2 linked regions of the Caenorhabditis elegans genome follow. The protein of the gene in region 2 interacts with the protein of the main gene of each other region in a pairwise test. Each region holds a gene or a part of one and is shown on either strand. Other genes may lie near its edges.

Region 1 (3,756 bases), on a different chromosome or scaffold from region 2:
CAAAGTTCGAAAATTATCTCAAATAGTGCCTGAGTTAGGGTTTGCCGTGAAACTTTTTCAGCAAATGACAACTTTCAGACACTATTTGACCCAATTTTCATAGAAAATTGAAAAAAAAAAAATAGAAACCACAATTTTTTCTGTTTCAGGAATTTTATGTCATGACAATAGAACAAGCGAAAAATGTTTATTGGTTTCAATCTTCAGTGTGTCGCAACAAGTCTAAGTAAGAGAATAAGCACTAAATTTTTTAGAACAACATGAAATGTCTTGGCGATTTTTCAGGTCATTTGCATTTGCAAGTTTTAAAAAGTACTCAAAACATTTTTCCTATAAGTTTTCCTATCACAAAAAAATAGTAATGTAGTTTTCATAGACAACACGAAAAAGTATTTTCATTGTTTTAAATTTTTGCAAATCTTCAAACTGTACACAAAATTTTAACGTTTTTTAAAACAATTTTGCGTAAATTTTTATCTACATAAGGATTTTTCATAAACTTCCCGGAATGTACAATTTTCAAAATAGAACTGAAAAGTTGTGTTTTCGGAAAATTAAAAAGAAAGTTCTACTGTTTCGTGAAAGCCATTTAGGACATTTACAATTTTCCGGTTTGATCTGATCGGTTTGTTCTTTTTTAACTTAAAAACTGTTAAATTTTTGAAATTTCGTATATAGAAGCTATTATTACTTGTGAATTGTATTTCTGAAAAGTAGAAAACTTCAAAACTCAAAATAATTTTGCTCATATTTTACAATTTTTAGTGAAGCTTTAGTCGATAATAATTTCTAGAAAAAAACTCACGTGTTTCACTCATAGCTTGTAAAAAAAGCCAAAAAGAAAATAATATCAGTAAAAAATGGTCAGTAATAACTAAATTTAACTATTTCAGCACATTGTTTTCAGTTTGAAAAGTTCGTTGCTTTATTGTATCGCTGTTTTTTTCAAAATAAAACTCACTCCTTGAAAATATTTATTTGGATTGACAGGACCATCAAGTACTCTTCCCATATTATGCTTGTTAAGATGTGGATCCACATATCCATTTGGTTCGTATACTTTTACATTTTTGGCCCAGGAAGGAGTTGAGTCTGGAATTTATTATTTTATTGAACATCAAAACATTTGGATTTTTTGAATATTGCTGGTTAGGAGAGACATCAGGAGTTGTTTTCCGCAAAATCAGAAAAAATTATACAAAAAAAACAGTTTTAGATAGTTTATAAGACTACTTCAAAACTTTATTGTTACTGTTTGCAGCATTCGGACAGAAACCAAAATATCTTACTATTAATAGAAAAAATGACAAAAATCTAATTGCAAAATTGCTGCTTCATCTTCCAGGTCCGTCGAGGTACCAGGTCTCAGCCAATCGTGTATTTGTTGACTATCTTGTTGACTAACATTTTTTACAGTTTCAAGGAATTCATATGAGCTATGTGTTACTTTCCGAAAACTATTATTTCGTAGCTTAATACATAGAACGCCTAGAAAAACAAAACTCACCAACAGGCGGAGGCGCTGGTTTCTGATATCTGGAACTATTTCCAGTTGGTGTCTTCATATCCAACTGCCCATGTATCACATTTCTCAACGCCGCCACATTTCCCTTCGGTGAGAATTTATCAGAATCTTCAAAGGTGTCAAAGTTGTAGGCATCTGCTGCAGGATTTAGATATTGACCAGATGGCTGTTGTGGTTCTGATGAGTTCTGGAAATTAATTAGGGATTGTGGAGTAGATTAATTGAAAGCTCTTACCGCCAGGTTTGACCCGAATGGATGAGGATGATGCATCATTCCTGGAATATGGGAGTTTGAAGAATTGTATAACAAAATAAAGGAAAGAATAAATGAAAAATGTGAAATACGGAAGACTAATATGTTCTGTCAGAAATGGGATTTTTTTTTGAAATTTGTACTGTAACAGTTTTTATAGTTCTCGAACTTTACCCAATCTGACAATAATTGCAGATTCATGGGATGTACACTATTCAAGAATATTTTCCATTTTCCAGAAAACTTCAGACATCTTGAAAATTTGTTTTAATTTTCAAAATATTTTCTCACTAGATTTTTAAATTCTATAAAGATTTTGAACCCAATTTCCAACTAAATTTGACATTTAGGAGCGCCAGTAGAATGCATTTTTGGAATTATAAGGATGGTACTTAAATGACCATATTGTCAATTTTTGTTTTGACTGTTTCATTTAAGTGTTAAAGCTCCCACAATGGATTCACGTTCAATTGACGCAATCCTTAAAATCATAATTTTTGTTGAAATGTTAATGCTTGTGTTAAAGTTATTGTTTTTAAAGTTTTGAACACCTTTTGAGACTTGAATGAGAATGTATCTAGTTTTTAAAAATAGCTTCCAAGACCGGGTAAAATGTGCACGGCAATCACAATTTTGCCATTGCTGGAATTGAAAAATGCTAATTTTTGTTTTCTTAAAATAGAAAAGACACTTGTAATTTTTTAATTTTAAAAATGAAAATAACATTCTGGAACAAGTGTTTAAATTTTATACTGTTTCTTTGAAATGGTAAAGCTTTTACAACATTTTCAAATCTATTCCACCTTTGTCCATGAGTATGTAAGACGTACAACTTTTGAAAAATGTTGTCTGGTCACTTGAGCAGTTTTTTCAAGAATAGTAAAACTTTTAGGTTAAAAATTTTTTATAACAGGGAAAAGGCCACATTTCATCTATCAGAATTTGGGGTTCGACCCAAAAAATTATTTCTACGATTTTTTACACTTTCATTAAGTTTAAATAATTAGAACTCAATGATTGTAGGAGTTGCAAAATCAGTTATGTATTTCACTGAAAACTAAAATTATTGAAAATTAAAATAATAAAAATTACCGTTTCACAGTTGTAATAGTTAACAAGCCCGAAACAGTACTAGGTTTTACGAAAAGTTGTTATTTTGAAATACGACAAAAAAACCAAAATAAGAAAAATTTTATCAGTAAATCGAGTGATATTATTGTTGCGAGAGCCACACTTAGAGAAACTAAGAATGTCCCTCATTGCGTCTTCTGTCCCCGGGACACGAAACAGAATCACATTCTCTCAGTGTCTGCGTCTCTCTATCTTTTTGCTCACTATATACATGACTTTACACACTTTTCGTCTTTCTTCTTTCAATTTTTGTTAAGCAATTGCCGGATGGACCTGCTGAAGAGAAAGAGAATGAGAGGAGAGAAGATGGAACTGCTCTCAAGTGACCAGACAAACTTTTTCATCACTATGATCATGATCATCACACCTTTGATTTAGTACTCTTTTGGCCAGAAGTAACCGTTGTATTTAAAAAAAGGTGGAGCGCAAGCTTATTAGTTTCAAAGGAAGAACAGAAACTTTAACACTTCATAGAAACAGTTAAAATTTGCAAAAAATTTGTTCAAAAAAATTATAGTTTTTTGCCGTTCGCATCACAATTTGCCATCGAAGAATAAACCTAGGAGACTAATTGTGCTTAAAAATAGTTTTTTTATTAGTTACCAAATCTATAAAAATGAGTATTTTCAGAATATGAAAAACATCAAACTATTTTTTAAAAATACAAAAAAGTCTGCCAGTCGACACAAATAAATACGGAATATAATTATAATTCAAAGCTACGAAAAAAATTGTTTATACAGTTTCAAGAAGAAGTTTTGAACAAGTTTATTTTCTTGGTCTACTAAAAAATTGGGGTAAATTTTCATAAAAGTAACAAAGTCTATTTAAAAATATAACGTTCATT
Region 2 (3,756 bases):
CCCCCGATCCCTGTTCAAAAAACCCCAGCGTCCGCCTATCTACATCCCTGACGAAATAGTGTCTTAAACTAAGAGTGCACCCATACATCTAACTATAGGTCAAAAAAACTCGGCGGCGCGCCCGGACGCAAACGACGACACAAGAAACATAGAAAAACCGGCAAACCATTGGGCGAGAAAAAGCGTTTAAAACATAGAGACACAGAGACAATCCTACAAAAAACGTCTCTCGCCACTGGGCTTCTTCGGTCGTTCGGACGCGGGACGGACCGGGAGGTGAGAATGGAGAAATAGGAGGGAGGGAATAGTACGGGAATCGGGGGAGATTTAGAGAGAAAAAGAACCGATGAAAAAACCAAAGAGGCGTCGTTCGATTATTATTTGAAATGTTCGGTTTACTATGCGAACGATTGAGGTGACTGTGTGTGTGTATACACAGGATGGGCTTGGGAGGAACGGGACAAAAAAGTGACCTTTGTTGACAAGTGGATGTCTGGGGATACGAAAGTTCAAAATTTACAGTAATCGGGGTCAGACTTCAGAGAGATTTTGGTAGCTTATCTCCTATATCTATTAACTTCTGACTAACAGAAATACTTTCAAGTTTTGGTGTTTCTTACCGATATGATAAAATATTTAGGCGGATAGTTTTCTTCCTGTTTGGACAAATAGATGTCTAGAAGCTATAAGAGCATACTAATCAAAACTCAAGCTCCTCCTCCTTCTTCCAATTCAGCTGTTCTCATCCAACAGTACCACCATCTGTTTGACCTCTTCTTCACCTCGTTCCATCGCTTTTTCCAACTGAAAAACCGCTCCGAAAACGTCCTTTTCGAGGCTGGCGCGCGCACGCTCATTCTTCTAGCAAAAAAAGCCCCCATGAAATTGTCTGCACATGTCCATGAATTGATGAAAATAGTGTAGACATGGGAGGAGATGCGCGCAGTATGAGGTGAACAGAAAAAAAATTGGGAAGCGATGAAGGGAGAGAAGGTCGACGACGAACAGGCGGATGGGACACAACGGGGAATAGGTGGGAGGTTCGAGAAAAAAATGGGAGAAATGGAGAAAATAGACATAAAGTGAAGAGTGACATTCATAACTAATAATCTAGAAGTTACAGTATCTCCCAACGGACGAAACTAGTGATCTCCGGCAATTCTGGAAACTGTCCGAGCTCGGTCGATTCGGCAAGTACTACATCAGGGGTGTGCGTCAAATTCGCCGAGTTTGTCGTTTGCCGAATTTGCCGAGCCGACAAATTTTAAAAATGTGGATTAGCTGATTTTGCCAAATTTGCCGTGCTCGGCAAATACTAAAAAAGTCCATTGTCAAATTTGCCACACTCCTGACACGGAGGCCTTATAGTTAGTTTCTGAACTCTAGACCTCCTAGTCAAACAAATCAAAACTAAGGCTTTGGTGGAAGGCAGGCGCGTTTTCAGATCCTGGTGCATGCCTGAGACCTGCCTGCCTTCCGTTCTTTTCTCATTTCAGTCAATTTGATAGTTAAAAAAAGAAAAAACTAAAAACCTTACCTGATACAGTTCTAACTCCGCAGACGACGAAAACGGGATGACGTGGTTCTCTACCGACGAAACCATTCAGCCCGTGTCTCCGAATATCATTCGCGTCTGGCGCCGCACAAGGTCCGGGCACGACCGGGTCAGGAGGCTGTGGAACAGTGAGGCCGGGGTCTATAATAAAAAAGTGGTTGGATAGAGGTGGAGGTGATAACTGATAATATGCAACGCTAGAAAAAAAGGAAAAAAATTAAGAGAACATAGGTCAACTGGAGGGGGGAACACGCGTGCGTTGAAAAAAAAGCAAAGGCATTGAGAAATCGAGAGGAACAGAGGAACAGACAGAGCCAGAATAGTGCAGCCACACTCTATATTCTCTCTGCAATCTCTCATCTTCTCCATACTATTTCTCATTCAGTGATATCAGCAGTGGCGCGGCGTCTTCTCAGCGGCGGTGGTACCGGTCGCGGACACCCAGGGCAGAATTGCCCGGGGGGGCGCAAGTGACCCCCACAGACCACGGGGGGACGCATGAGGGAAAAAATGGCTGGCACTGCCTGGGGGCGACGGCAGTGTTGCTGCACAAAAAGTGCGTCTACACTCTCTTCGCTTTACTTGCTCTTTCTGCACTTTTTCTGCTGCCCTCGGCCGCGTCCATTTTTTGTGTGTTACTGGCAGCGGTACCAGTCCGGTGCCGACCCAAGGAGCCCAAAGGTCTCTGGAAGAGCAATTGATATGATCAGAAGCAGTGGAAGGCATGAAGAGCAGTTGAAGAAGGGGGATTCAAGTTGGTGTTTGGGATAGTGAGACTTTTTTTAAACCGCTGAATCACTGGAGAAGTACTACATGAGTACTGTAGACTGTATATGTGATGTTGTATATGTTATTGATATGAGTACTGTTGAGTACAGTAAGGCCGCAAAATTATTTTGAAACTCATCTTATTCGATTTTTTTTTCAGAATTCACCAAAACAAATGTGTGGTGGAATTCAATAATGTTCGTAACTTCAAAAGAGGATTTTATCAAAAGTTGCCAAATATATTTTGTTAAAAGCGTTTTTTCGGCGAAAAGGTTGCTGAAATACTTGTATTCTAAAAATCATTAGTATAATTTGAACATGTTTTCAAACAAAAGTATAATTCGTTACAGTAATGCCAAGATTGAATCCTGGAAAACACCTTCTTTCATAAAAATGAAAATTTTGAAAAATGGTTTTTACTGATTCGTAGAACAAAATTGTAAGCAGATGGCGTGGTTCTTGAAACTTCTGGATTAATCCATCTGAAAAAATTCCGACTGATGATTTTGATAATGTGTTGTTTGATCAAAAAACGAAATGGAACTGATGCTTTAGGATTTTTCTAATTTCATCTCACTGCAAAATATACAGAATCTATTGTATTTGGAGTAGTAAACAATTTGATTGTTATAGTTTTTACAAAAAAATATTTTGAAAATTCTGGAAAGTTGGTAACTAAGAGTTTCTTCACAGTTTTATCTTCAGAAACTTTGAGGGCTCATCGTGAGATTGGTTCTGGAAACTCGTATTTAGAAGTTCATAAACTTGTGGGATGTTGATATGTTTGCATGGCAGAATGCAAGAGGATTTGGTGGAATTGAGGTATGTATCAACACGTTTTTTAAAATAAAATCAAAACATTTTCAGACAAAATGTTAGTTTTCAGACAGCATAACTTCCATGTTATGTACCTACCTTCTTCTGACGTATCAAATTCTACTATTCAATTGTACGGAGAACCCTCAACGTTGCCTTACAGTTAGTGGGGTGCTTCATTACCCATATACACTTGAAAGTGCTCTAGTTTTTTATGAAACTTCTGAAAATCAATAATATGGTTATGGTGATTATTTGGCAAAGCGCACGTGGACAGAAGATAGGATTGCTTATCCGTGGTTTGGTCTGCCAAGAAATTCTTCAATGTCAGTTATCAAGCTCAAGTTCCCTGCTCTCCGAGTGGTCATGAATGGTACGGCTGTTTTTGGCGATTCTGCTGCCATGAAACTCTAAAAAAAACTTATATTTAGTCTTGCTCGTTTACTGAAATGCGTCCGAACTTAACAGGAAAAAGAAAGATATAGCTTTTTTTATTGATTATTATGTAATTCTATTTTTTCTGAATAAATTCGTGCATAACAATATTATTTGAATTTGAGCAAAAACTCAAAACTACTTCGAGAATTTTGATGTGTGTTTTTGCTGCTTGCTTAGAC

The links. Proteins that work in one complex are often made in the same cells at the same time.
Region 1: the proteins of mab-10 (region 2) and sorb-1 interact in binary tests that used the Caenorhabditis elegans proteins (3 or more experiments, as listed by UniProt).

What each region holds. Positions count from the first base shown.
Region 1 is NC_003282.8:13,748,379-13,752,134, reverse strand, and holds the start of sorb-1 (SH3 domain-containing protein), read right to left. Parts: upstream 1,803-3,756; 5' UTR 1,800-1,802; coding exon 1,761-1,799; intron 1,713-1,760; coding exon 1,508-1,712; intron 1,483-1,507; exon of another isoform or gene 1,462-1,482; intron 1,277-1,461; exon of another isoform or gene 1,253-1,276; intron 1,093-1,252; coding exon 962-1,092; intron 951-961; exon of another isoform or gene 930-950; intron 876-929; exon of another isoform or gene 852-875; intron 639-851; exon of another isoform or gene 618-638; intron 380-617; exon of another isoform or gene 359-379; intron 346-358; exon of another isoform or gene 325-345; intron 209-324; exon of another isoform or gene 188-208; intron 1-187. UniProt on the Caenorhabditis elegans protein: Required for organization of sarcomeres in body wall muscles and for maintaining normal mitochondrial position in myocytes.
Region 2 is NC_003280.10:10,526,029-10,529,784, reverse strand, and holds the start of mab-10 (NAB transcription cofactor mab-10), read right to left. Parts: upstream 1,702-3,756; 5' UTR 1,538-1,701; intron 413-1,537; exon of another isoform or gene 1-412. UniProt on the Caenorhabditis elegans protein: Transcriptional cofactor. Heterochronic protein, involved in timing of a subset of differentiation events during the larval-to-adult transition.